Lepisosteus oculatus: one gene and its partner. The main gene of each other region encodes a partner of the protein of the gene in region 2 in a complex. Links are inferred from orthologs where the notes say so. Each region holds a gene or a part of one and is shown on either strand. Other genes may lie near its edges.

The links.
Region 1: the proteins of ncoa5 (region 2) and estrogen receptor beta are in contact, whole or in part, in a crystal structure (PDB 4ZI1), measured with the Homo sapiens proteins. The link is inferred for Lepisosteus oculatus from reciprocal best matches to the Homo sapiens genes NCOA5 and ESR2. Residues at the interface, in NP_066018.1 of Homo sapiens: Ser344, Leu345, Ile346, Leu348, Leu349, Ala350, Asp351; in NP_001428.1 of Homo sapiens: Ile310, Lys314, Phe319, Leu324, Gln327, Val328, Leu331, Glu332, Leu490, Glu493, Met494.

What each region holds. Positions count from the first base shown.
Region 1 is NC_090703.1:7,976,947-7,991,976, reverse strand, and holds the start of estrogen receptor beta, read left to right. Parts: upstream 1-7,814; 5' UTR 7,815-8,122; intron 8,123-12,214; exon of another isoform or gene 12,215-12,479; intron 12,480-15,030. Other genes in the region: coiled-coil domain-containing protein 170-like, read left to right, coding at 709-909, 2,232-2,405, 2,575-2,817, 3,230-3,454, 3,825-4,109.
Region 2 is NC_090711.1:2,264,646-2,280,130, forward strand, and holds the start of ncoa5 (nuclear receptor coactivator 5), read right to left. Parts: upstream 6,014-15,485; 5' UTR 5,742-6,013; intron 5,716-5,741; exon of another isoform or gene 5,184-5,715; intron 1,915-5,183; 5' UTR 1,802-1,914; coding exon 1,639-1,801; intron 1-1,638. Other genes in the region: neurl2 (neuralized-like protein 2), read right to left, coding at 7,333-7,448, 7,818-8,511; ctsa (lysosomal protective protein), read left to right, coding at 8,997-9,069, 10,024-10,189, 11,099-11,210, 11,445-11,495, 12,155-12,241, 12,981-13,136, 13,836-13,927, 14,706-14,790. UniProt on the Homo sapiens protein: Nuclear receptor coregulator that can have both coactivator and corepressor functions.

The DNA of each region.
Region 1 (15,030 bases), on a different chromosome or scaffold from region 2:
CTATCACGAAATGTACCGACACAGAATGTGAAGTACAGTACGGTCATAAATATCATCCAAGGTTTCCTTTAAAGCAGCAGTACAGCTCGAAAGTTGCTCAACTCAGAGCTGCGTCTCGCCTCCAGCCTGTGTAGCTCAGCTTCCAGCTCTGATTCCACTACCTGGCTGGTGTCCTTCTCAGGTGTTTCGCATCACTGCTGCAATGAGGAGTGGAACAAAGAGGCTTGTTCAGATGACTTTGAGAAGGAAATGCTCAGCTATGCACAGCTCCTAGAGCTTCATCTGCCTACCTCTTAAGAACAGTGGAGGGAATCAATCAATTGCCCTACTTTAGATAGCTTTAGTGCATTAAAGAAGAAAAATAATGTGTCAGCATCTATTTTGACTATGGAAAAACATGTACAGTACAAAAGCATATACAATTAAGAGTACATAATGGTTCCTTGGAGTATAATATGTATTAGCCTATGTGGTACAGTATATAATGTTCATTAAAGGGATGAAAAAAAACAAGCACGCAATCAAAAAGGAGCATTGCAGGATTATACAGCAGTAATTTAATTAGGCTATTAATTTGAAACAAATTATTTGCGGAGTCAATCACTGTTCTGCTTTTCTATTGAGCCTGTTTCCTCCCGTCGGAGTGGAGCTCGTAAAGCGCGCGTGGTAATCCCAGCCGGACTGGCTGTCTTGTCGTCCGGTGCCCAGAGGGAGGAGGAGTACGAGCGCAGGCTGCAGGGCATGAGCCGGCAGCTGGGGCAGCACTGCGAGCTCTACCAGCAGAGCGTGAGCCACAGCCAGAGCACGCAGGAGCTCCTGCGCCAGCACCGCGACACGCTGCGCCACGTGGAGGGGAGCCTGGCGGCGAAAAGCATGCTGAACGACGGCCTTTCCTTCGAGAAGCAAAAGGTGAAAGTCCGGGACCTTGGGATTACGTTAGAAAGGATTTTACAGTTACCTCTTAAGATGTGCATGTCTAATGGGGAAAGGTATCGTCTTGTTAAAGTACCCATCTTCCTTTTCTGTATTCTACGTTTTGTAAGATATTGTGATATCTTTGCTCTCCAGCTCTCTGAATTTTCGGACTACGTTGCCATTATTGTAGATAGTAGAAGGGTGATGGAAGTCTTGATCAACTGAGAATAACAATAACATCACCTCGATATCACTAGGTGAAACCATGAAATGAATTGGGTTTCTGTTCTTTTTTTCCCTCGTAATCTCTTAAAAGGAGCTCCAAATGAGCTCTTTGTCAGCTTATAGCCCCGTTGTAGAGTGTTCCTCCTTCTGTTGATCTATCCTCAGATGTACAGTATTACACAGTTGAAATGTCATGCCATCCACAGATTCATGCATTCTATTAATGCTACACATAAAGATGAATTGTTTATGCACCTTGTCTGTGTTTTATTGCAAATGAGAAGTAGAAAGGGAGACCAAAAAGAAATCGTGGTGTTGCTGATTCAACAGCGGATTGATGGCAGCTGACTCCACCAGTCAACCACATGGTGATACTCATATCCCACGATACAGCAGGCTTGATGCTAGTTGGGAAAAGATGTATTGTAGCTACTGTAGGTTTGTCCTCTCTGCTCTTCCGGATAGTCCCTGGCCTTTCAAGACACCAGGGACACTGGAATCATGTCTGTTGTCGGCACTGAAAAACAGGGAATATTGGAAAACATAAATTGGGTTGGTGAATGGTCAATAGTTACAGTATTAGTGGGCAACTACGTGAGACAGTTTGTGCCTTTTTGTGAGGTTTATTGGGCATTATTTAAATATTTTCTGCTTCTTTTATTTGGCCTCCATTCCACTGTACTATGCAATAAATCTGGTGCGATGTGATTTGGCTGCTTGGTTCTGAAACCCTCAAGTGCTGAAATTCCTCCATCGTCTCTTTCCGTTTTCCAGCAGACAGCACAACAAATCACTTGCAGTTATTAAATATACCGCTTTGTGTTTAACTTCTAGAAAATCTGTGATACATCATTTCTGAATAATCTCAGAAACTATGGTAGTTTCATGAAGAAATTAAGCATTTGATTATTGAGCTATTTGTGTGTTTTTGTAAAGGACTGTAAAGATGGATTTTTTAAGAAAGCACATTTGTATTTATGTATTTGGTAAAAGTGTCTATTTGGATAGATATTAGTCCCCAAGGGACAAAGGAGTTACCTGTGCTTTCCACTTTCCTAACTGTTGTAATAAAGGCTTGTGTCCCTTTGCAGCACATAATGTTTGTGAATGAGATGGCGCAGAAGCTGAATGTGGAGGAGGAGATCTCTGGCAAGCCCCTGCAGACTCAGTACAACGTACTGCTGTCCCGCGCAGAGCGGCTGTCCAGTTTGGGCAGCCAGTCCATCAGTGACTGCAGGGAGCTCATCCATACCCTACAGCACAAGGTGGGCGTCCTCACCCTGAACATATGTCAAAAAAACATGTCCAATAGCACTGTATTTTACAAATGGGTTGGCACATGTGTTGGTTAATGAAAGGAGACCTAATCAGGGTATAAAAGGCTTTCTGAGCCTTTCCCACCCCTTTGTGAGTTTCACACTGTATCCATACCAGGTTTCTTCTCAGAAAGAGAAGCTGGACAGAAAGAAGGCAGAGATCGAGAGCCTCCAGCAGAAGCTGAAGCTGAGGGAAGAAGAGAAGGACCTGTCTGCCCTGCTCCTGAGAGAGAAGATGGGGAGCAGAGAGACTGTCCTGCAGCTGGAGAGGAACATAGTGATGCTGCAGGGGCAGCTGAGTGACTTAGAGAGCACCAACCGCAGCCTGCAGGCACAGCTCGCTGAGGCCAGGCTTCTCCAGGTGACTTAGCAAACGAGTTACAGGAACTGAGCAACTGACACATCAGTGTGTTATTACTTTGAACTGCAGGGTCTTGAAACACAAATCTTCTCTACAAATTATCAGGTGCAAAAATCTATTCAGTACTATCCACTACTAATCCGAACAAATCTTATCAGTTCCTATCCACTATATTCCTACTGCATAACTCTAAAGTTGTATTGTGTGCAGTGAATATAGAGAAGGAATGCACTGTTAAAGGTGAATTGTGAATACTGCTTTGTGTAACAGCAAATCGATAGAGCAGACTTTATAACCTGTGCATACCTGACATACTGTATAGGTAGTAGTGTCTTTTCTGTCTCAGTTTTGTTTTTGTGACAAAAGGACACTCTTGGTTCATGTGGTCAACCGACAGCGTTCTCTCACATAGGTGAAGAAGGACGAAAAGACCAGAAACATCGAGGGGCTGAAAAAGTCGCTATCGGAGAGTAGGAGATTGAAAGAGCTGGCAGAGGAGACGGTGGCGTGCGTAAGAGAAGACCTGCAGCAGGAGAGCGAGGAGAGGCAGAGGGCTCAGACCACACTGCAGGCCATGTCCAATGAGCTCCGAATGACGAAGAGAGCCCTGCGTGAGGTGGCCAGGAGAGAGAGAGAGGTGAGACACAAGCCACAAAAGAAACGCTCAGCTGCCTTTACACCAGTACAGACAGACATCTGGAATTATGTTTTCACTTCTTTTGCCACATAACATTTACATAAAATGAAGTTCAGGAATGGACGGTTTGGTTTATTCAGTGTATGAATTGCAGACACCATGATGATTGACTAAAAAGGCTAAACCTTCACACTACAGTATACAGTATATGATTTGGCAGAGGTTCTATATTCTAAAAGTATTGAAGTAAATAAAATCATGGAAATTGCACTCTTGTGTTCATATTTTAGCATTTCAATGCTGCCTAAAACTGAACCAGGGTAGTTAATGACTGAAACCTAGACACTGTCTTTTCTAAAAAAACCCACAGCTGGTGGATTTTAAAGAATGCATCTTGAAGCTGCTGGGTCTGAATGTCAACACCATGGTCGCGCAGGAGAGCGACATTCTGGCTCAGCTGGAGAGGCGTCTGCGAGACTCACAAGGGGGCGACGGGGGCCAGGTGAGGAGAGACAGGCCTCCAGGAGGGACAGCCCCGAGCGACCCCACACCTGGCAGGGCTCAGCCGAAGGCACCGGGCCTGGCCCCCAACCCCAGCGCCACAGTCCAGCACGTCATCTCTGCCAAAGCTGCGCTTCCAGCGAGCGAGTGGTGAATACAAAGCACAGAACGACACCTCCCTCGTTCTGGATGTGCAAAAGTACAGTTCAGCCCTCATTTCAATCACTCAGATGGACAGACTACAGAAGAATGGCTGGCATCAAACACTTGTCCAACAAATGCATTACAGATGCACAGAGACTAACATTTTTATTACCCATCCATTTAGCTTCAGTGTGATTCTAATGCAACTGCAGGTCACTAAGAAGTATGTCTAATTTTAGCTGGTGTGTATTTTCACCCTTAAATAAAGAGTGACAACGAATGCAACATTTAAAGCGAATAGATCTGAGTGAAGGTGTCTACTGTATCTTTAAAAAAATGATTTACATTTAAGATCAGTATACTAATAGTCCCAGTCATATCTATAAGCATATTGCTGGTAATGATAAATCTCTTCCTCCTTTGATCACAAAACTCCTGCTGCAATATTGCAAACCATTGTTGTTTATAAAGGAAAATGGTGAAAGTGGTGAATTACTTCTGAGATAGATGCCTGCCTTTACAAATGTCCAGATACTCTTCACATTCTCCTCCACAGGCTGCGATTATTGAAATTGTAGATACAGTGTGGCAGAAGCCTGTAATTCAGAAATGATTAGGGCAGAATCCTCCGTTTCAACCTGCACATGATGTAATGAAAGACACACCGCATTGCAGATAGCAAATGGAATTCAATTTGCTTTTTGGTTCTGTATCTTCAATGATTAAGGCAAAATGCGTAATTTATGGAACAAATTACTTACCTGAAAGATAAATTATTTCTTGTCTGAATTAAACTGAATGGGAACAGAAGTGAATGTGGAACTAAGAACAGACTGTTACTTTCTTTTGCCATTGTACTGCACAGCTAGGTTCACAAAAATACAATTCCAGTTAACCCAGGTTGAAATACTTGTTCAATTTCTGAATAAAATAAAAAAAAATGGAGATGTCATAATATTTTCAAAGTGGGACCCCATCTGTCCAACGAAATGACTGATATTGAAATACTTAGTTTCATTCTTCCAGCATTAAGTACTGTGATGGAGACAAAACACAAAATAATCCCTAAAAATTGACTAACCTGTGTCTGATGTTACTCACAGCAATTCTGGAAAGATTGGCATCCCTTCATGGGTCACACCACATTTATGCTTACAGTATTACATTCCATGTGTTTATACTGTATGTGTCTGTCATTTTTGTTGTCCGGCTGTTAAAATATACCTTACAAATAAACAGGGAATATTGGGTTCCCTGCTAAGATCCCCCTAAACTTGGCTAATAGAAATGTAGGACATTTATCAAGAATATTGTCTTGCCAGACCTCTAACAGAGGGGGCCTGAGACGAAACAATGCAGTTCTTTCACACTTCATCGGGCTACATGGGCTGTAAATATACAGCCGATAAAGAGCCAAGTCCATCAGTAAAACACCAGAAGAATAAAGCAAAGAGTGAAGAGGGAATCCTCCTCTCAGAGCTCACAGTTCTCCTGGGCATGGCTCCCAAACCACCCAAACAGTTTCAGGTTAGCAAACGGGTTCCGAGTCCCAGGATCCACTGGATTCCTTCTTTTCGGAGTTCCAGATGTTTCCAACAAGTCTATGTATTCTAAGAGCTTCAGTCAAATTACCTGGATCATTTCATTCATCTTCATGTGGTGTTCTCCTTGAATTCTGGCAACATATTTCATTAAAGCCAGTTGTTATATAGTTCTTACCGGGTGTTTTTCTGTATTTCTGGGAGTATTTCTCCCAGATTCGTTTCTCTTTCTATTTGTTTTGAATGGCTAAAATATAAGGTAAAGGAGAACTCTTTAAACCAGGGGTGGCAAATTCCATTTTTAAACTTATTAAAACCTACAGTATATTAGATTAACCCAGCATTAATACATTGAATAACCCACTAGGAATTGATCCCTGAAAATCATTAATATTTTCAGACAAACTTCAGACTGTTGTCTTATATTAATGTTTTGTTTTTCATTTTCTACTTTGTGGGAACTGCTAGGCATTTATAACGAGCATCATGTGCAGAGCCTAACCTAAATCTTATATATTTTCTAAGTCCCTACCACTTCCACATGTTCAACTTTAAGAGCCAAAAAAGACATTCATTTCATATGCAGGTATCAGCCACTAAAAGCAGCCTCTCTCTGAACTAAACACCCAGGAGACCACTTATCCCCCAGGAAATCTAATTCTGCCCTTGGAGAGAAGCTCAAGAGCCAAAGCTTCTTCCTGAACCCGAGATTACTCCAAAAATTGCTGATCAGAAAATAACAAAGCAAAACCAAAAAAAAAATAGAATTAATGAAACATTTACTTCTTTCCTGTTTTCCGGGAAAGAAGAATTTACCTTCTAGCCTTTCTGGGGAGCAGGTTTTTATTTAATGTTTCAGAGAGAGAGAGAGAACAGAGTGCTGCCATCTTTTGGAAGACAACTGTACCAACAAATGGCTTTGACCAAAAATAACTGTACCCTATATCAGACAGACACTATCATTCCTAAAGTAATTTAATAATCTTGTTGTGATTTAAAATCCACTGTCTCTCTGTGAACGAGCTAGCTTTCCTTTTTTCTAAGCAATGCAACATATTTATTCTAAAGACTCACGGGTTGGGCGACTGGTGGCACAGTGGTTTGCATGGGCCCTGGCTGGAGATTGTATTTTCTGCCTGTGTTCATGTGGGTTTCCTCCCACAGTCCAAGGACATGCCTGTAGATTAATGGGTGTGTGTCTCTGTGTGCCCTGAGAGGGACTGGCGTCCCATCCAGGGTGTACCCTGCCTTGCACCCGTTGCTTGCTTAAATAGGCCCTGGCTCCCCTTAGACTCTGAATTGGAAGACGATGTCAGAAAACAGATGGATATCCTGGAGAGACAGTATTTTCCTTCTACTGTTTTTTTCTATACTTGTAACAATCTGAAATGCATAGTGCATTCTCATAGAGCTTGGAATTGTGGATAAAACATAATAATTGAAGACATTCTTGTACTAGGGTATTTTTATATTTGTATCCACAAGGACCGTGAGCACAAGGGAATATAACAGACCCTCCAAACAGTTCAGTTACAGTACAGTATGTGAAAAGTCGCTGGTGTTCACTGCTTTGGCTGGTCTGAGGATCGCTGGAAAAGTTGTTTTTTTTAATGTTGAGGAAGAATATCTTCTAGCTGGTCACATGAAGGCATCTCCTTCGACTGTCTGGAGTGTCAGGAGGGAGTTACTATTGCGAAGAGCATTGCTACTTTTCTCCAAACAAGTGATGAGAACTTGGCCATCTGCACAAGGCAGATCAGTCACTCCATTAACATTGTATCTCTTTCAAAAATAAAAGAAAGGCTTTTATAGATATCGGTCCAGTTCTATAGGAACTCTGTAGAGAATTGGGACATTTCTATTTAAAACTATAAGTCATCTACTGTATATGGTTATTTACATAATGTGGCTGTCTATTTATTAGTGCCAACTCTGAACATATTCTTTTTGCTACATATTCTTTGAGCCCCCTTTGCGCTGTCGCGTGGTTTAGACCTCAGACTGAACACAAACAGCTTTCTATTAAGAGCAAAGCGGAATATGCGTCCCATTCCTCGTTGCAAAAAAGGTCGCAAGTTCAAGGGATGTAGAGGGCGGGTTTTGGAGGGTGTGGGAGACCGTGACGGCAGCGGCCGTCTCTTAAGTGAATGAAGTATTACAGAAAGCAGCAGAGTTACAAGCAAAAAGGGCTGTTTGAGCATCTCGGAGAGAGAGGGAGACTGCGCGCAGCCTGAGCCGCGCAGCTCTGAGTGAGACACGCCGTGAGAATCCTCTCAGCGCTCTCCCGTCTTACCGGTCCTAGGTAGTAGTGCCAGTTAGCGGCTGATATACTTTTTGTTTTACTACGCTGTACAGCTGGACACGGGAGAGCGGGACCTGCTGTTGCTCAAGAAGATACAGTAGTTGTGTACTGTTTCATCCTCCTGCTGAAGGGAATATACCACAGTACAGTGGCCGTTCCTTCAGGTGTGCGAGAAGGCAGGTATGTTCGCTGGCTGCATCTCCGTCACGCACAGAGATTGATTAATCGCCGTTTGTCAGTTTTCAATGGACTCGTACTACGGTTGTGTTTACTTAGTATTTCAGACAGAGTTCAGTCGGTACCAGCATTTTTAACACCGGCAAACATGGCAAGGGAAGTTCTCGTTGAATTGCATTTCAATTGTACTTTAAAAAAAAAAAAGAAAAGCCGTAATATAAATGAGAGAAATATAAATGGTTTACACCTATGCGCAATTCAACCATATACTGTATCTTTTAGGGCTGCCGACTGCGATTCACATGAAGAAATACTGTAGGGTGGTTTTCCTGCTACGATTCACAATATCACAAAATTGAACTTTTCTCGTTTCTTTTAGCTTTGGATATGCTTAGTTGGAGCAAACAAATCCTGTAACCAGTGCAGTGGGTTACTGACTCGTGTGCGTTCTCATTTTTGTTCATATCTTATCTTATATTATGTGTATCTTATGTGATATTCCTTGCGATTTAAGAAAATGAAACATGTGTTGCCCTGTAAGTAGGAAATAAAACAGCTTTATAAATGACGTTCACGATCAGTGTGGCAGAACAAACCGTTATTTATATTAACGAAACCTCCTTGCCGATTCCTCCTGCAGTAGCGAAGTAGTAAAAACTTTAATGTTCTTGTAACTGTACGAGGTTTTTCCGTTATCGATTGGTAATGACGTTGCACACGCGACTAAGTAGCAGTTCACCACCAAGGGCTATCCGTTTTCAGCCCAGTCTCTTCTGAGGCTGAACTGTAAAGTTGTTGCTGTTTCTGACTGGGCTGTTAGAACATGGCAAGATGTTCAACCCGGAGACCGCACGAAAGGGTTGAGAGCAGATTTCTTTTTAATTTATGTAAAAACTCTACACTCCGGGTAGTCAAAAGAAACAGGAAATCGCCCATTTCTGTCATTCCCCCTAACTGTTTTTACAACTGAACCGCTTATTTCGTACAGGAGTTTATTAGTACACTGTTTTAGTCGTTGTGGTCGCTTTCTCTGCTTTTTTAAAGAAACACTTATCGTGTTTCTATTTAGAGTGTTACGGCACTGCTTTGACAGCATTGTTACCCTCTCTTTTTAATTAACCAATTCGTAATGCTAACTCTATGTTACGTTTAGCTCTTTTTTCTCTTTCTTAAAGCAGCAGTTTAAAAGTTGCAGATTATTATTTTTTTAGATCTGGGCCATACACGTTTTATGCTCAGTTGCTTTAAATCAAAGATACATGTTTACTGCGAGGTGTAACAGCCAGCTGCACAGTAATGTGTACAATACCACGGATCAGTGAGTCCTACACCTTTATCGGTTGGAATACAGGTTTTATGATAATTCATCTGGACAACCTGTTATTTCTGAATGCCTCTGCATTCCCAGTGCCTCCCCTTGAGTCAGTGGTATGTAACAGTGCCTGGTTCCTGAACATTTAGTATGTCGGCGAATATTTATTTTTACATTTTAGTTATTTGCCACAACAAAGTTTAACTTTTCCGGTTCCGAAAGAAATAATTCTCGCCGTGAAGTGTGCTCATTTTAGCGGGCGCTGTGAAACAGTCTTCAATGTTTCGCTCACAAAGAGCAGTGAGTTTCCAGTGCTGCTTAAACCTTGGTTTCATTTCCTAGAATGTCTTGCTGTTTGAGTAGAGTAAAATAAGGCGTAGAGTAAAAAAAGGTCTTCGTAAAAAAATGGAACCGTTTAATTCTGTAACTTGTAACAAATTGATTTGGTAGGGAAAACAGCTTTCATTTCCGAGTGTTTTTTTTCTTCAAAAGCACAAAACACTCGACACTCGACACTGGACTTGTCCGAAATTATTGGTTTATTACAGCTTTCCTGCTTTGCAGCGCACTACCTTTTAGAAGCTCATGGATTCAGTGAATTACAAAAGGTGTGGAAATGGTTCTGGACATGGAGTTTGCAGTTTTTGAAATATTAAGAACAAATTAATGCGGTTTTGGAGACGTTTGGTTTTCATACGGCGTACCTCTGCGTGTCCTGAGCAGTTTCCTGTGAAAGCGTGGTGCAGATGGGTGATATGTACTGTAATATCACTTGCAGGCTCCCGGGATGCCCGAATTTGTTTAAATTGGAAGGTCCTTGTCTTTTCCTCTCACCCATGTTTTGTGAAGATAACTATCTACAGGCAAAGTTTCACTTTTTCATTATTATTTCAGTTTATGAAGACGGGGAAACAATGGTTTTGGGGAAAATATGACCCAGGGGTATACACTTTATGTATTGTTTCTGTTCTTTTTTTGAATGTTTCGTCTGTGTGAGTATTTTTTTGTGTCTAATTGATCAAGGACATCATTCACAAGAACTGCATTGTGTCTTCATAATCCACAGCTACAGGTAATGAAACCAAAACGAAGTTCCAACAACTTACACCAATACGTGGGTTATTTAGTAGACGTACTCTATCAGAATCATAAAAATGACACTGGTCAGCAGATCAACTGTTGGGGCTTATGAGAATGATTTATTATCGTTACCATTTCTCTTTTCATCAGATCCGATATAGGCATTGGAGTGTTAGAGGCTGAAACAGGTTTCTGGGAGAGGGACTGAAAACACACAAGTCTCATAATCTGAATACTCTACACCTCCTCCTGAGCATCTCACATAAATTAGAACTGTGGTTCCCCACCCTGGTTCTGGATGAACACTTTGTCTTCTGGTTTTTGCTCCAGTCCATATTCTTAGTCACAGGTTAATGAGAATTACAGGAGTCTGCTTTCTGAAATTAAAGGTCAAATCGGATTTGGAACTGAAATCAACCATGTTCCCATTTCTGAGTTGCAGGGACTGCCCTACAGTACATTCAGGGATGTTGCTTGAAATATCACAAAAAGAACCTCTGCGGGAGAAAATGCTCATTGTGGCGTGACAGATGCTGTCTCATTCTGACATGTGGGTGTGTCTGATACAGTGCCATTCCCACATATGGGCACATCTGATACAGTGTTATTCCTACCTGTGGGCGTGTCAGATACTGTGTCATTCCTGCCTGTGGGCGTGTCAGACTGACTGAAGGAACAAGTTAAATAAAAATGTAAACAAGCAAGAAGCTTAATGAAATCAAGAATTTGCATTTGAGGTGTAAAGCTCAGCTAGACAAAAAAAACAGTGGACACAAGGTTCCTCTAACAGTGCAATCCTCCATCGGTTTAAAGGTTGATGATTTTGATTCTCAGTTACAGAAGCACAAGCACAGTGCCATACAACACTGATAGAGTTAAGCGCTCATAACCACAGTTTTGAAAACAAAGTCCTTTAAACACTGATTAACTGTGAAAAGATTTTTCAACATTGCGTAGCTGCATTTTGAAGGTTAGCCCTGGTCATGTATTCACACCCTTTAGTACTGGTAGTAAATCCTTATTCCAGATGTATCAGCTCTGATGAGGAGTAAAATTTCTCAGCGTAGTTGCAGGAGACATGTGCCTTATATGAGTATGAAACGTATGCGGAATACTGAAACGTATTCCAAGAAGTCACATTTTTTCCACGTCAGTTTTCCCATATCCCTGTTCACTTACTTCGCAGCTAAAAACTAAGCATTGATTTCCCTCCTAGGATACCTGGCCTGTTGTCAGGTGTTTATATGGTTGTGTGACCACTATTTTAAAAGGTAGCTAGATGGCAGCATGGTTTGCTGGAGAAACTGGTCTCTTCAAGAAGCTCTGAACAAACAGATCCTCCCATAAATTGATAATTGAAGGAAAAACAGCCTAAGTCTCTTGTATATAATAATGCAGGGTTTTATTGTCTCGGCTATAGTGAAAACAATCAGAAGGGAGGTGATTTTTACTGGGTTTGTTTTTTTTGATGATGAGCCCGCTAATCAAATATTTATATGCACTCCTTTCAGATAATATGGAGTTAAAGTCCATACATTAATAAAAAACACTGATGAATCTGTGTCAAGCAAACATCACTGGGTTTTGCAAAAAAATCACCATGGGAAGGCTTACATTGAGTAATAAGTTGTCATTATTATTTCAGGGATAATTTACTGCAGCACCACAAACTAAACGCTTCAAATGCATGTTGTTCCTTTTAAGAACACAAACGTTTAAACCGTGTTGTCTGATTAACAGACTTGGCACGGGCCTTCAACCCGTGCAGTGTAGCTGGCATTACTGGGGCAGGTTTCTGTGGAAGGCTGCCAGAGTCTGCATTCAAAAAGCCCAACACATGCTCCCTCTGTCCAAAGAACAGGGCAGTCGGGCATGTTTCCTCCACTCCCTGCTTTTTCTTTCTTTTTCTCAAGAGCAGCAGGAAAGCTAACGCTTGGAATGAAGTTCAGTTGGGTTCAACACGGAAACGTAAGTGCTCTATTGTGGAACTATTGCTTTTAGTGCAAAATCTTAATGTTCCAGTTCTTTCAGCATCTTTACATCTACAAGTAAATCCTAAAGAGCCTCATTCATGTTTTTTACCTGTACTTTATCTTAAAACTGTATGTGAGAGTGTAGTTTAAAATTATAAGCCAATGGAAAACTAACTTACGTGACCTATTGTATTTATAGCACAGCTCTCTTTGTCTTTAAAGGTTATGTGGAGTAAGAACTCCATTCTCTGAGAATACAGTGTTTTGATGCCACTATGTATTTAAGATCTTGAGCTAACATACTTAAGACATTTAATTAAAACCATTCTAAACTTAATCCTTGGGAAAAAAACACTCAAAAAGGCATGAGTAAAATTTGAGAGGCTAAAATTAAGAAGGTGTACTATTAAAATGACTGATCTGAAAGGTCACAATGCGGGCTGTATTTTGCAGGGGTTCGCAGTTCTGCATTGTGTTCACGGAATACAGTCGTCTATAAAGAGCAATTTCTCCTAAACGTGATGACGAGTGGTAGAGGTCGAAGAGCTAAAGGCTCCAGTCTATGTTTTGTCCACCCGCTGTTCTTGGATAATGCCTTAAGGTTGTGGTTTTGCTTGTGATCGCAAAGATAAACTTCTTGCACTCTGTTATACACAGGCAGAGCCCAGACAGACTATGGACCTTGGCAGTCTGGTATGTAATTAGAGCCATCCTGATCCGAGCTCACGCCTCAGGTCAATAGACCTGTGGACCCAACTCTGAGAAGGCAGCCCCAACACCAGGGTGACAAGGTTGCGACATTTAATAGAGTTCTATTCAGTTGATGGTAGTTTAATGGAAAGGCTTCACGGATGTGAGAACTGTAAGAGATTCTGATCCTTTGATTAGACTACCCTGGATTTCAGTTTAAAACTGCAAGGTGTCATCAAGCTAGTCTAAAGAAAAAGACAATTATTTTAATTTGCCAGTGCATCAGGGCTTTCCCATTGGGAAAACAAAATAGATTTTCAGCCATTACTGTATGTTTATTCTTTTATTTTCACTGGTCCGTTTTCTTGGTATTTATACAGTGTGTATAACATTCATTTTTACAATTACACATTTTTGTGCTCTAACTATTTATTGTGTTGTCCCTTCCTACTGTTTCAGACATGCACATTCAAGTCATTTAGATAAATGGCACAATGACAGGAGACATTTCGCTCCACAGAGCATGTTGGTATTTATTTCTGTGTCATCCCATAGACAACATGAGTTGTACTGGAAGTAACACCAATTACCCGCCACCAAGTGTTAAAATCACACTGGAACTCTTTCACCCAACCCCAAACGGAATAAGTTAGAGAAACTAGAGCACCTGGAGTGAACACAGGGAGAACAGCAAGCTCCACACAAACAGGTTCTCTGAGCTAGAATTGAACTCAGAAACCTGAATCTGTGAGGCACTTATCCTAACCACCGCGTTTCCTAACTTTTTTCTTGTAATGTCAGTTAAAAAAAAAATGTTAAAGCTTGCCTGTATTGGCAGAGAAGCTGCACTGCAATTCCAGAGTATTGTGCTCTGCATTAATATTTCCTGCTTACGGTCTCCCTACTCAGACTGACTGAGGGTGCCAAGATACAGCACATGGCCTTTAAGCCAGGAAAGGGGCTGAGCCAACAGTAGAGAAGTCACAGACTCCTTAGACCACATGGATCGGAAAGCAGAATTCTTGAAGGCAGTGGCTTTGTCTTGGTCTCAATGGATTTGCTTGTCTAAATAGAACAGCCTTTTTCCCATGATTGTGATGATATCCAGGTGAAAGCTCAGGTTCAAGCTGACCTTGGAGATCACTGTTCCATGGAGGTTGTGATCAGGAAAGCAGGTGTATGGCTTTCTTCGGTATGGTGCCACACTGCAGAAAATCAGTCAAGCAGCAGAATCATACATGATGCTTTCCAACACCCGCTCAGACAGTTGATCCTGACTGTCCCCATATGGAGGCAATGTGCATTGTAAAGTGAAGCAGAATTTTAATGGAACCCAGAGTAAATTGAATATAATTATTTCTGACCCCTGAACAACCTGAGAATGAAAACATCAAAAGGCAGAGAAAACCCTAAAAAAAACAACAACTAACATCGAAATGTTAGCTTTTTATATATATATTTTTTCATAGTTAACATACTTATTACTTCTGGTCTGGCCAAATTTGAGAGAAAGAAAGTGTGAGATGGAGACCTCTGTTGTCAAGCTTATTTAAAATGGTAATTGTCCTTCTGAAAAGCCAGATTACTTAAATGAAGTGTTATAGTGAAAACATCACCTTCAGATGCCCTGCTTATTTTAGAACTTTTATCTGTTTAGTTTTGAGAAACCACCATTTGGGGCAGAAACTGGCCTCAGATTGGTGCCTCTGGTGCCTCTGGTCCTAATATTCACTACTCTACATTGCTAGAAATCTGAAGATTGGGTTCTTCCTGCACAGCCACACAGTAAAGCATTTTCTCTGAAAGTTTAAGATTTTCAAAAAATATATTTTTGTTAGCATTTATTTTATACAGTA
Region 2 (15,485 bases):
CTGACTTCTGAAGTTGAAAAGGCCTTTATATTTATGACAAACTCAGCTAGAACATGTAAAATTTTGCTTGTGAAAATGCCCCTGTAACGCAGGGTATATATGGCTACTTTCCGACCTACGGTTGACTACACAAGGCAATCTTCAGACTGAACGCGAGATCAACCAGTATAACACACACACCAGCCTGTTATTGCATATGACCAAACAACAAATGGAATTAATTTTAAACTTAAAGACTACATGGGGTTAGTTTAACACAGTAAGCTTAACAAAAAAGAAATAGCCTCAGATACAAAGTTCATTTACTTTCCACATTGACAGTATGATAAATCACATACAAAAAACTGACTGAAGTACACCACTTCACAAAAAAAAAGTTATATTTCCGTGATGATTATCATGCGTTTACAAGAACTGTCACAATAACATTTTTTGATGGCAGCAATGTGCTTCTGATAAATGGCAATCCAGCAGATATTTCTTGATTACTTGCACACATTCGGTTTAATTGCTAGGGGACAGATATTTGTATGTTTGCAATGCATTTCTTTTACTTAAATACTGTTTACATCAATTCAGCTGCAGAACTTTCCTCGCAGTCACAGTCATCCTTTGCCCTCTGGAACTGGTACAGAACAGAATAATTAATAAAACCTTGACACTGTCAGCTCTGATTTTGAAAAACTTATCGACTCAATATTTCTCAGAACACTGCATCAAAATCTATTTAATCTTAGTGGACTACAACAGAAAACAAAAATATATATTTACAAAAAAAATGAATTATCTGGATAGCCTGTTTCCTTAACTCAACTGGGTCTTATGACCAACGGCTTGACTGCTCTGCACAGTCTGCTTGCTCCTTTTATCGAGATGATCTTACATTCACAGCAACAGTTCTTGGGCTGCTCTGACTAACAACACTGAAGACACCTCCATGGAAACGGACAAATACTTCTCAAGTCTGAAGTTGGCCGTGGAGGTCAAAACTCCAAAACAAATTAAATAAAGTGGGAAAATGAAAGGAAAACTTCAAAATTATTTGCCTGTCTCCTGTGTCCGGATCAGCACTGCTGTTTCAGCTGGCAGAACAAGGCACTGGGTGAAAGGGTCTCTAGTAGGACAATGTGCATTAGCTCTATTTTTTAACTCATCAGTCTTCGCAAACCATTCACGAAAAACTAACACTGTTAAAATGCGATTCAATCTGGAAGCTACAAGATAACCTTTTTTTGTGATCTATAATCCTAAAAGGTTCATACTAAATTAAAACAGTAAAAAAAAAACGTTTTTTTTTTTAAGTCTGGGATGATAAGATTTGAGATGAGTATTTTAATTTTAGGACTGACGGAGTCAAGATATTTTGCAGGCTGCCCTGTTACAGCAAGTGTGGGATGGAGAGGATACAAGTTTAGTATCCGGCCCTTAATCTACATTTACACTAGAAAGCTGGGCCGAGGAAGGCAGGCCCATTCATGAGCACTACGGGTGGGGGGTGTGGTCAACAGGCCTGGCGAGGTGAAGCCGCATCGCAGCGGTCGGGTCCGCACAACACCGAGACGCGTTCAGACGGGATTTTTGACGGGACAGGAAAAATAAAATAAAAATACAACGACACCGTAGCGTCACACTACTAACCGTTGATCTTTCCGTAGGGCCTGAACAGGTCTTCCAGGTCCTTCCTGTCCATGAGGGTGGTGGGCAAATTCCCCACAAAAATTCTCCTCTCCAGGTCCCGCGGGTCATTGCTGTTGGTGGTGTGGTGGGAGGGGCTCCCGCTGCGACTCCGTCTGCGAGACATCTCTACCCGCCGGCGCGACCGCGCTCCGCTGACCAGAGCGCCGGGCCTGTCCGCCTCTCCGCTTTTTTGTGCCCGTCCCGCGCGCTTATATTACTCGCCTACTACTCCAGGTCCTAAAATATATCAGCGTGCCAAAACGGGAAAGGAAGAAAGAAAATGAATAAAATTCCACAGGTCAGGCCTCTCCACCAAGTACGACAAAAGGAGATAACAACAGAATTTTTTTTTAATTTATTTTTTTGGGGAAAAATCGCCTTGAACGAGAATGAGGAAAATATGAGCTTGATCGGAACCCGGTCACGGGACGAAACGCTATCTTATTCACCCGGTTCCGTTTCGTTCTCTCGGTTGGAGCGCCACCTTACAGGCCCGGTCGCCAAGATCAAATACACACCACCTCGTGCCGCAACGGTGTGATGGGAAACGACGAAGGACGCAGCACAAAGTCACAAGGCGAAGGAAAGCAGGCAAAAATGAAAACAGAACCACGGTATGGATGGTACTTTTCTCTGAAACGAGGAAAACGAATTATGGCAAAAAAAGGACAGTGAACCGATGCGAATTAACCACATTTTGAAAGCAAGATATTAAAAATAATCTTTATTTATTGGACTCATGTTCAACATCACAATTAGATGACGCACCGTTCCTCGCAGTTTGTAAATCACGGAAAATGGAGGGACGTCTATTCCAAATATTTAAACCAAAATCCACGACGGATCCGAGCAACTCAATTTCTACCCCTCAACGTGAAAAAAGAAAAAAAAAAAAAGAGACCCACTAAGTTTCAGTCTTGCCTTCTGCTAAACTCATAAAAGCGTCAAAATTGCTTAAGATATCCAGCAGTGACCATTTCCTCCTCGCACAGATGAAAGCAATATGAAAGAGGTACACTTGGTATTGTCCACATACACACCAAAGGAGATGGGGGAGGAGGGAGGTTTAAAAATGTATTTCTGTGCCATAAATAACCAGGAAAAGAGAGAAATGCAAATCGAAATGAAAACACACAGGATATCAAATTAACCGATAGCCACTGTTTATGTTTATTCCGGCAGTCCAACACACATCTTGTATCACAGGAGACAACACCGTCGAATGAGAAAACATATTCGTGACAGTTTTCGGCTTCGTGCACAGAACTATAATTTCCAGGGTCTCCTTCAGTATGCCGAATGAGCTTGTATCCTCTTCCGAACAAAAGCTGGAGCGTGGGAAATTTAACATGCAAAAATGCAATCCAGAATGCTGAATAAAAGATAAAAGAGCTGAATAACCTTTCAACATCTCGTGCCGGGACTAACTCGGGGCTTGTGCTACTGAGCACAGTTCGTGGTACTGAAGTGACTCAGACAACGCAAACGTTTCCCTTTTGCAGGACACTGAATCCCAACACCCTGCATTTCTCCTTCCAGATTGATTTTGTTATGAGCGTGCAATTATATTTTATATTTTAATTCCACACTGAAAAAACGAACCCCTCCTTGCTCGGTACAGCTCCCCGGTCAAATTTAAAGCATTTTTTTTTAAAGTGGTTTAGGGGGTTTAAGTGGTTGACAACACTTTCCTCCAATATCCACTCCTGATCACGCTGTAGAAACAGGGGGCTTTGTCAGCTTTTGCCAACAGATTTGAGGAACAATGTTCAGATAAAGCCCCTTCAGTAACAACCATTTCCTCGTGCATGCTTGGGCTGTAGAGCCAGGCTCTTCCAGACATGCGTGGCTACAGCTCACACCACACTAGGGGCACCAGACGGACACCCACCACCTGTCCACGCTGTCTTGCTCCAGTCACAAACCTTATTTATTCACATGCGACTTATTAGATCTTCTTAGCCGCACGGCAGAGAAACTACATTTTCTTACATACTTTTCACACCTGCCTGGATATCCACAAGATGAAATCAGTGGGTATGCATTAAAAGTGGGAAAGGTATAACCTGCCTGTTGACAAAACACCTAGATCTAGAATGTTCTGTATTCTGCCACAAAATCGAGGGTTTTCGTTTATGTCTTTTCTAAATGAGCTCCTAAATGAGCACAGGCGGAATTTCATTGTGTTGTTTCTCCCTGTACACTGCCATGCTGTCAACAAGCAGCATGTCTTCACCAGACTTACAGGACTGCTGTTACCCTGCAAGGTTGGCTATGCAATGCAGGTGAGTTGTATTCTTGAGAGGGACACATGGCTTTCAGGGCGTTAATTTCTGCAGGCCAGGCATTGTGGATTGTAAACGGTGCGTGTTAAAATAAATAACTATTTGAATTTGTCTTGATTTTTTAATTCTGGTAATTGTTTTCTTTCACTTAATCATGGCGGTTTTTCGTACACTAGTTACACATACCTGCCTAATGACCCTGGATAAAACCCAACCAAAAAGCCCAGGTCCGGTCAGGTCGGTCCCCCTCAAGACTAACACACAGGTCAGATCGGACCAGCACTCTCCGGCAGCCCTTCCGACACCTGCAAGGCCAGCGCGGATCACACCGCCTCCCCAAACCCCCAAACATCATCTCGGCACCGCAGAAGAACCGTGTTACTTAAAAACACACCACAGCTTCGAAGGAACAGATCCGAGAGTCCTCAGAAAAGAAAACGGGCTTATACTTCGTTATTCCGGTGACTGACACAAGCCAACACATGAAGCCGACGGGCTGCTGACTGGGCTGAACTGGGAAGGCGTCAGGCCCGGTTCACAGCTGAAGATTCGCTTATTTGTTGGTCGCAGAGACTGTGCCGCCGGGGGAAAAAAAAGCAACAACACGGCGCTTCTCCACGACAGCCCTAGCGACACCGGCCGGGCTGCAAACCTCCGGGAAGACTCCCGTCTTGAGGAAAAGCGCCGCGACAGAAACAAACCTTTTGAGTGCTGAGAGAACGGGGAAAAAAAAAAACATTTTCATCCCTGTTTTTCTCGGACTCGGAGACGCACGGAGGGAGGGAGGGAGAGAGCGAGCAGGCGGGCAGCCCCAGCCCGCCCTGGCAGCCGCCAAGCTCGGCCGCCACCCAGGAAACAACCGCGGCTGCACCACCCGCGTCCAGGCCCCGGCCGAAGACGCGCTGCCCGGGGCTCGAAGCCAACAAGAGGCCCCCCAGTCTCTCGGAGAAACGCCGTCGTGGTCGCGACTTCCATTTTAGGAGGAAAAAAAAAACACCACCACCCTCTACGTCCTTCCCCGCACAACACACACACACATAGATAGATATACACCCCTCTTGTCCCTGTCATTCATTCAAAAAAAAACAACAACACCGCATCATTCCTTTGACGAAGACGCGAAAACAAAAGGTGTTAAAAAAAAAAGAAGAAATAAAACAAACTCGGGTTCTGAAACGATCAGGACCCTCTCGGGCGCGCGCGCGCCCCCCTCCCCACCACCTCGCGCACCACACGGACAGCCGCTCGCGCCGCCGCCCCCGCTCGCCCGCCCGCACGAGCCGACCAGCAGACAAGCCGCCGCCGCCATTTTGAGCGGAGAAGAGCCGAGCCGGGCTCAGGGCTCGGGTTCACCGGCGGCGGAACAACCCCACCTCACAGGGCCCGAACCCGCCCCTGACGCCTCGGTGGCCCGCTTCACCCCAGAGACCGAAAGACTCGCGTAGAAATAGGGGAAGGGTGTTGGGGGGGGGGATTAAATAAATAAAATAACGCGTCAACAACGGTTTCATCATTTAAAATGTCGTCGGCGGCGACGCCAGAAATATGAACAACGAGACCCTCCAGCCGCGACGCGAGGGGAATGAACTAGTCAAGTTATGAGATGCTGAAATCAGAAATTACACGGGGAAGAGGGAAATGGCCTCCCGAGATCTTTTTTTTTTTACAAAAAATTGGATATTAAAGTTCCGGCTGTTTCACTTTTGGTTTAAAAGGAAACAAGACAAATGAACCAGCCCGGCCGCTTCAAAAAACCATATTAATAGAATAAGCTCTTACCTTTAATCCGTAAATTGTAAATTCGCCCGTTTCCCCCTGGGTTTTTGGTAGTATTAATGTTCAAAAACGGACCAAAGACCTACTTCTCATCTCCTAACGCTTCCCTCTACAGCGCGAGTACACTTCTTTCAGTTTGCTTATTTACTACAGTTTCAACCTGCTTTACGCTAGCGCCGCGCCGTTGCTATGTAGCGTAAGACAGTCTCTTGGCAACGTTGAGCAGGGTCAGTTCTGCGTGAAGGCTATAGCTCCTAAATACACAACAAAGCATACGAATTTATCATTATTATGATATTGTAAATATGTCTGTCCGTAGAAAGAGTGAGAATAACTTTATTGATAACTGTCGTAACCGAATTACCAAAAACTTAACTGCTGTGCTTCTTAATTAAATGAAGAACGCGTTTAAACCTATTTTCAAAATGATTTATTATTGTAGGGTACATGAATACAAGCTAAGGTTATTAAAATAATGGTTAAACAGTTTTGCCTGCTATTTTTTCATGGCCAGAAGGGATTTTTCTGATGGATAATAATGCATTATTAAAATATGGTGTAGATGCCTTTATTTTGTTGTGCAAACCAAATTAAACGGTGGAATTTAATAACAAACCCCGTATAAAGCCTTTATCATGATGAGTATCTCCAGGTGATATAGAGAAACAATGCTTTAGCCCAGTTCATTTGCTGATAATATTCAGTGTCACACAGAGTCCAATGACAGACGTAATTATCTGAGGTAATAACACAATAGAGAAGGCCATGGTACTTCACAGTATCAAATTATTACAGATAATACAGGTAGAATTGTTTAATGTGGTGCTCCTGCCAAAAGTAACCAGTTTGAAACAGACCTGTTGATGCTTGACTCCTTGGTTGTGATTCAGTTGAAAGCTTACAATGTGAAACTTGTCACCACAACAGCGCAGACCGAGTACTTTTAAAATCCAAGTGTTATGATACCATTCAGGACTCGTGCACAACTAGAAAAGGCTGCAATAAGGCACGAGCTGAGGTTAATTCCACACTAAAAAGCAGACAGACAAAACAAGACATGTGGGCTGTTGAGCTTACTGCAGGCTTGAATGATGGTTCTGGTTCCCGAGTGTCCGGAAACAGAACAGAACAGTCCAATTCTTCCACACAGGGGGTCTGCTCTGCTGACCGGGAGCTCTCCATATTTCTATCATTATAAATTAATTAGCAGAAGCTGACTGGGATTTTATGTTCAAAACGAAGACCCTCCATGAGCATGATTTCAGAAACGGCGGTCCTGTGCAGGGCAGGGCAAAAATGTCAAAAACCCCCTACTCTGAGCACGGCTGACAACTCCGGAATAAAGCTTCCCCAAGCCATTCCGGGAGGATTCCCGTAATCAAGGCCCGTGTCCTCCCGAGAGGAACATGCTTCCCAAGCGACTGTCACCGGCTCCTCTGATCGCACCCTACTGTCTGTGTGAGGGCCGCCCAGGGTAACGGAAGAGGGGTATCTGCTGGCTGCTCAGTGGGGACACGAGAGCTTGCTGTCGCACGGGTTTGGGGGCCCCTCCTTCTGCACAGCCCCGGCTGCGTTCCCTGGCGCCCCGACTCCGTCACTCGTACTTGCAGTAGTGCTTGAGGAGTTCAGGGAGCTCCAGCCAGTCCAGGGCCATCCTGTGGACGATGTGCTTCTGAATGGTCTGGCGGCACAGGGTCTGCAGAGAGGGGACTGAGACGAGAGACAGGAGAGTGAGAGGGAGAAAAACCCAACAGGAAAGGCTGTGATTTGGCTTCGCTGCTGCAGGGGCCTCGTTTCATGCAGGCCTCTGCAAGCTGTAGCAAACCCTGTCTTTGCTCATTTCACCGTGAAAGGGGAGGAGACATCAGGTCGCAGAGATGCTAAACTAACCAGGAAAACTCAGGACTTGTAAACATGCAGGTCCTTTGCATAACCAAATGAAAACCAACCGACTAATTTGCACTTTTTCATTCTCTGGGGCTTTCAAAAAGGTGGGGAGGTTAAGCCTGCTGACATTCACCGAGAGGCGGTTGGGCCTGCTGGACGCCCCCCCAGACAGAGCGCGCGGGCCACACTCACAGCCGTACTCCACCTGCACCACGCGCACGCTCTTGGTGGCGGCGAAGACGTCGACCACCGCGAACAGGGGCCGCTGGGCGGGGATGCCCCTGGCGCTGGCGCCCATGTCCTCCCCGTTGATGACGATGTGCATGTCAGCGGCGCCCCGCCCGCTGGGCACGAACAGCACCCCGATGCGGCTCCGGCGGGCCGTGGGGGGCAGCGTGTTGGTCTTGTACAGGTCGTCCAGGATGTGGCTGAACCGGCCCGGGCGGCTGCGGCCCACCAGCTTGTCCCGGGGGATGCGCGCGCCCCCGATGTGGAGGTGGGTGTCGGTGAAGAAGCTCTTGGGGGAGCTGCCCCCCTCTGCCTCTCCCTCTCCCTCTCCCTCGACCACCCTGTTGTGGTTCCGGGTGATGGCGAACACCCAGCTGTCGCCCATGCCCACCAGGTCCGGCAGGGAGTACTCGGGCACCGCGGCCAGGCCGCCGGGGTCGTGCGCCGTCAGCCCCACCCTCAGGTGTCCGCACCAGCCCAGCTCCTTGTCCTCGATCTCCACCAGGAAGATCTCGCCAGGGGCCAGGGGCCGCCTGCTGAAGCACAGCCCGTCGGCGAAGCTCTCCACCCGCGTGGCCCGGGTGCCCGCCTGATCCAGGCGGACGTTGGCGCCGTGGACGGGGTGGAACTCCAGGAAGCGCCCGGCGAAGCCCTCCATCTGGGCCTGCTCTCCCGCCAGCTCAGCGCCGGCCCGACTGCGTCCTCTCCGGCAGGCCTCAAGCGGGTCTCTGGCTATTTCAGGCCTGCCGCAGGGCTCTGTGCGTCGTCACTGCAGCTGTCTGACAGGTGGCAGAGTGCTGTGGGGGACAGAGGAGACTGGGGGAGGGGGGGCGGACTTGAGGTCTCCATAAAAGGCCCGGGAGAGGGCAGTGATAACAGGACTCCCTGAACGCTGGAGGACTTCCCAGGCCCCGTGCACAAGACACAGGGATAGAGCCGGGGTGCTTGACCCACGGATTTTAATACTACAGGGACAACCTCGCAGGACACCTCCCCGACCCCAGGAAAACATCCCGTTTCCACGCATTTCCGCTCCCCGTCCGTCCAGACGGCTACCGAGCTGCCCGAAGTCACGTGATCCTGATCGCCCCCCCTCGTCACCTGACGCCCCAGTCATGTGACGTCCCTTATCAGCCGGGTCACATGATCTCACCCCCCAAGTCAGGCGCTCGACGGTCAGAGCGCATTCAGGAAGGAGCCGGACTAGCACAAAAAGGTAAAGCTGAAATCATTGTCGTTTACAGTGATGTACTCGGTTACAGCGCTTAGAAAGCGACGGCTTCCAGCTTGTGTTAAATGTACGAGTGTATTTCAGCCAGTCGCTAAGTTTCGTGGCATCTTTGGAGGACGTCACTGTGTTTCTGTTGTCCCCACACAGAGGGGACTGTTTTTAAATCGCAGAACTTTCCATACCGGTCTGCTTCCCGGAGAGGTGAAAATCGTTGTCGTTTATTGTGAATTAATTTGGGCAGCCGCTTCAAGATACCGCCCTCGAAAGAAATATGCGGCGGGGGTTGGTGCACGGATGTGTAGTTATTAGTTTCGTTTCTGTTCGTGTAATCGGCATTCAGGAGGTCTTGTTTTTTTTTTTAGAAACGTTTAGATGTTTCGGTCGGGTGCCGCGACAGATCTTTTGTGTTGTTGTTGTTGTAACTTTTCAACACACGACATTCAGACTGATGCCTGACAGAGGGGCAGTGAAAAACGAGCTCTGCCCTTTCCCCTGCTCCAGGAGCTCTGCGTGACTGCCCGGCTCCCCTGCCGCCTTGTCCTGTATTTCTGGGGGGTTCCCCCACGAATAGCGCTGGTTTCCGTGATTGAAAGACATTGCGATGGGCTTTTAAAAAAAAAAAAACACACAGGGAAGGCGAAACCAGGCAAGGCGCAGAAGCGGACACGTTATGAGGACACGCAGGACGCGCCTGGTCTCCCACGGGCTACAGGAGCTCATTCTCTTTAGTAGTCCAAGTAGGCAGCTGCGTCAGCACGCGTGGGCTGGAAAGTTAAGGTTTCTTCCCCGCTGGAAGGAGAAGAAAAGAAACGCAATGTTGAGGCTATGGAGCCGTCTTGAGACACTTCCCTTCCAGACAGGGCCGGGCAGTATCCCTGGGGCAGGCGGTGTGTGTGTGTGTGTGTCTGTAACGCCCCCCTCTGTCCCTGTGCCGCTCAGGGATGGACCGAGCGCTGCTGCCGCTGCTGCTGCTGGGAGTGCTGAGGGTCCAGGGGGCTCCGGACGCGGACGAGATCAAGTACCTCCCGGGCCTGGAGAAGCAGCCCGGCTTCAGGCAGTACTCTGGCTACCTGAACGTGTCCGGCAGTAAGCACCTGCACTACTGGTGAGTGTGGTCCCAACCCCTGATCTTTCCAGCTCACTGCCCTTCCTGCTCCCTGCTGATTCTGGGAAGCGAGCGTGGGAAATTCCCAGGGGGGATCCCTGGAGCTGGTGACTTGGTTTCCAGGAGAAGTCAGGCGGCCCAGGTGAGGGGGCCCTCAGTTTCCAGTAGTTCCCAGGGCGCGTCACGGGATTCTCCCGGGATCGGGAACCCCCTCATTCCTGGTTAGGACCCCAGGGATCTGGAAGCACAGGGTGCCTGTCCATTGCTGGCCATGCCAGCGAGCCCACATGGACACGTCAGGTTAATTCCATGAAGGTCAGGAGCAGTTGCTCAGACGTACACCGGCAATCAGCCCTCTGCTGCCAGGTGGGTTCTGTGCCTCCTGTGTTGTGCAGCATGAGGTGAGCTGAGCTCATGGGAATAAACATTCACAGACCTGCTGCAGGGTGCGCAGCTGCAGCTCGGGGGCCCCAGGCCATGCGGTGTCTGGAGCAGGAATTGAAACCGCTTGCTCTGTATTCCTTCCAATCCCACTTCCCTTTTTCCTGAGACTCCTGCGTGAGAGGGCCTTCTGTTCGGCTCGACTTCACAGGCATCACTGCTCTGAATGCCATCAGAAGGTGCTACCTACCTTTCCAGTAACAAGACAGGAACAATCCGATGCTGGTAAAGAGAGAGTTGCTATTTCAGAACACAATAATCCGGCTCACAGAATGGACTTGGGCCCTTAAAGCTGAGTGTGTGCCCCTCCCTGTGCTGCAGCGTCTCATACCCTCTCGAAAAGAGAGCCTGTCTTTGCATATCGCCTGTCCCGCCTGTGTGCTACTTCTCGCTTTCCTCCCTGTCCGAGCTCTCTGCTGTCTTGTCGCCAGGGAATGTCGTGACCCGGCCCCTGCCCCTCTCCTGCAGGTTTCTGGAGTCCCAGAAGGACCCGGCTGGCAGCCCCGTGGTTCTGTGGCTGAACGGGGGACCGGGGTGCAGCTCCCTGGATGGGCTGCTCACCGAGCACGGGCCGTTCCTGGTAAGAGCGCCTGCCCGCACGGCCCTGGGAAAGATCCGGGAGGGCGCGCACGTTTTCCCGCGTTCTGGGGAGGTTCCCGGGAAAAACCAAATCCAGTGGGCGGCGGGGTCTGCCTGATTCCTTCGCCAGGTCTGCGTGTGGCCTTGGGCAGCGCTCCCTGCCAGCCGTGTTGAAAGATCTGGGCGCGGGGGCGAATGAAGGCCTGTTTGTGATTCACGTCTGTTCCTGCTGCAGATCCAAGATGACGGCGCCTCTCTGAAGTACAACCCCTACTCCTGGAACACGGTACGCTCCCCGGTTCTGCTCGGGTTTCTAAACCGGTTCCGGTTTCCGATCGGGTCTGAGCATTATCCCGGCGCCCTGCTTTGTGGTTCCTTTCCCGATTAAAGGAGGAAGTGGAACAGTCGTTACTTGAGAGTTTTTTTTTTTATAGGAGAAGTCACACACGTCAACAAATTAACAAATACATTCACATTCACCTCTTTTTCTGTGTCAAAACGAAGTGAAAAAGCAAGTGGTCGAGGGATTGCCCTTCCTGCGATAGTCTGAAAGATGAGCAAACGTGAGGACAGCCGTGAGCTTCCCTCACCTGCTACATCTGGAGTAAAGTTACGCGTCGTTTTCCCAGCACCTGGCAGACCTGTCCACACGAGCTCACGAGCGCCGACTGCTGTCGGAGAGCCAGCTGACATCCTAGCTACTGTGCGGTCTTGATATTGAGCAACAGGAGCGACTGACACATCTGGGTCTGCGCCCCGAGAAATACCACCCTGTGCCCAGAGCGGCATGCAAATGGCGAGTCAGAAGTGCGTTCAAATGAATGATTCATGGAAAGACAATCTGAGATGAAAAATTAAACAGCTTTTTGAGATGTGGGGCGTGGAAGATTTCCAGAGGGAAGGGTGTGGGACCTGGGAGTTCACGGGCGTGCCTGTCGTCCGCAGATAGCCAACATGCTGTACCTGGAGTCTCCAGCAGGGGTGGGCTTCTCCTACTCGGATGACAAGGACTACGTCACCAACGACACGGAGGTGAGTCAGCGGGGGGGACGGAGCCCGTGTCCTGGCGCCGCCGTTTCCCAGCGCCGTGGGGTTTTGCACACGTCCTGCTGCGGACACAGACCGGACACCGAGAGCTTGACCGCTCGGGTGTTTTTTTGCTCCGTCCGCAAACATGCCGAGGTTCGAGAGGGGAGATGCGTCGGCTCTCCAGCCCCACAGGCACCGTGGAGTGGGAAGAAGAAGCTGGGAGGTGTGTGGGCTCTAGAACAGGCACTGCTGGAGCGGACCTGTTTAGAGGAGCTCGCCTAGGGAGCTGTCAGAATACATAGGCTGCAAAGGAACAGGTATGGGTACCGTTCAGCATGGAATCAACCTTTACCCGTTCCTTTGCAGACACGTTTAGCCCCAGTCTGAGGTTTTAACGAATACCCTGCTAGCACGGACTGTAATTCATTCTGCAGCGAGTGATTGGAATATATATTTTGCTTGTTTAAAATTGAAAGGAGGCAAGAACGTTAAAAAAAAATTGCTTCAGCTGTGGCTCACGTTTTGTTTTTTCATCTTTGTTTTTTAAGAGTGGAATATACCGCTGCCTGTTCCTTTACGCTTATGCAGTAGCTGGGCGTCGATCCAGCGATCGACACTGATGGGCGGAGAGGCGCACGCACGTGCCTCAGTAGGTCCTGATGGAGATGCCGTTGCAGCCGAGGCGCGTTGTCAGTCCCGATCGGCACCGTGAGCTCAGATGGCTGTCCGCTCCTCTCCGCAGGTCTCCCTCAACAACTACCTGGCCCTGAAGGAGTTTTTCCACCTCTTCCCAGAGTACAGCAAGAACCAGTTCTTCATCACGGGAGAGAGCTACGGCGGGATCTACGTGCCTACGCTGGCCGAGAGGGTGATGGAGGACAGCAGCATTAACCTGCAGGTGGCTGATGGGCAGAGACCCCCCAAAGTTGTGATTGTTTGAACCTGCATATTATACACACTGTTAATGTTCTTTGTACTTTTCAGTTTTATTTATGTCGTTATTACTCTGAAATTTTGAGCTGCCAGTTTTGTTTATACCCAACTTTCTATGGACCGCCAGCCCGAGAGAACTCTCAGGAAACCCCTGTGTGCTCCTGCCCATGGGCGTATCCACCCACTGGGGGAGTGCTCTCTCAAAATATAGGGGCGTGTCATCCCACTCGGGGCTTGTCCTCTCAAAACCCTGGGGATGTGTCCTCCCAATGGGGGCATGTCCTATCAGAACTCGGGGGTGGGGGGACGTGTCCTTTCAAAACTCTGGGGGCATGTCCACCCATTGGGGTGTGTGTGTCCTCTCAAATCCCAGGGGGCGTCTTCTCTCAAATATCAGGGCGTGTCCACCCACCGGGGGCATGTCCTCTCAACCAGGAGGCGTGTCCACCCACTGGAGGCGTGTCCTCTCAACTTTGGAGGCGTGTCCACCCACTGGGGGCGTGTCCTCTCAACTTTGGAGGCGTGTCCAGCCACTGGGGGCGTGTCCTCCCAAAACTCAGGGGGGCGGATGGACAAAGACCTAGGTATTGGGAACAGTCCCTCAGGCAGCGTAAGGACGCGGAGAGAAAAGGGAGATTCTAACCAGCGGTCTTGTCTTTCCCAGGGAATTGCCGTTGGAAACGGGATGTCCAGTTACGAGATGAATGACAACTCCTTGGTCTATTTTGCCTACTACCACGGGCTTCTGGGAACAAAGTGAGACTCTGATGTTTCTCTAAATGTCGCCGTCCCGCAGGTGGAAGCAAGGGGGCCGTCCCGAGCTGTGATCGCAGTGCTCAGTGTGTCCTTAACCAGAACTAATGGCGTAGCTCCCAGCCGGCCTCACAGGCGCTGATGTCATGGGAGTGTTAGCGCTGCGTTTATTCTCACAGCTTCCTTCCCATGAAGAGTTAAGGTTGCAGGTGTTCACTGCTGACCAGCATGGTGGTGCAGTTGTCAGCATTGCTGCCTCGCAGTGCTGGGGCCCCGGGTTCGATTCCAGACCGGGGGTGCCGTCTGTGTGGAGTTTGTATGGTGTTTCCTTCGGGAGCTCCAGTTTCCTCCCGCAGTCCAAAGACATGCTGGGAGGGTTTAGGGGGCTTGTGGGAAAACTGACGGGAGTCTGTACCTGTGTGTGTCCTGCGACGGACTGGTGTCCCATCCAGGGTGTACCCTGCCTTGCTGGGATAAGCCCCAGCTCCCCTGGGACTCTGTACTGGATACAGAGGTCATGAGGATGGATGAATACTGCTTGAACACTGTTTAAAACGTTTGTGATGTGGATTCTGTTATAGTTTTAAATGAATGTGGAGTGTGCATTAAGCCATTTGCTTAGCCAAGCAAAACGGGCCGTACGACCCCAGCCACAGGACCAGGATCTGCTGACAGAGAGAAGACCACCAGGCCACCTGCTGACAGAGTACAGGGGGCTCTAAGAGAGAGGAGATGGTCTCCTGCTGTTCTTGATTACAGTCCTGCTTGTGTTCTGTCTCAGGTTGTGGGCAGAGTTGCAGAACTACTGCTGTTCAAAAGGGACCTGCAACTTTTACGACAACCAGGATGAGAACTGCACGTTGAGGGTACGTACACTCTTGGGAAGGGTGTGTGGGCTTGTAGAAACACTGCTGAAACAGACTTGTTAAGCCCCATTCAGGTTTCAATGAATTCCTGCCAGCCCTTGCTGTGATTCACTCAGCAGCCTCTAGGTGGCAGCCTTTCAATGTAGCAAGCAGGTGTAGCCGTGCCTACAGAGTGGGGAAAAGGCTTACAAATGTTATACAGCCCAGTCCTATTTAACCATAACAGAGATGCACCGTGTCATAAAAAAAAAAATTCTTTTATAAAGTCAATGTTAGATGAAAAGAGCAGTTGCTATTCTTAATTAAAATGTTTCTTCTTGGAGAGGTTGAAGTGTTGTTTTAGAGACTTCAGTCTGTGTGTTTGGCGCCAGTGGGAGTCTTGGCCAATGAGAGACCTTTCCCCCCACAGATGCGTTGTGATGTAATGTACCCACAATGCCCTGGCTCTGGCAGCCTTGACGAGCTGTACACTAGCTGTCTGTGTTAATTTATGCATTTGTTTTCAATGGGATTAAAAATGTCGTTTGTCATTGACTTAATCGTTAATCTTGCTTTCCTTGTATACATAAAATGAAGTGGTCTCAGAATACACCCACATTTGAACAATTTAGAGTGGACATAAGGGCATGTAGACATCATCTCCAGAGTATTTCTCAATTGAAGAACATGAGAGCTGTGCATACTTTAGCTCATTT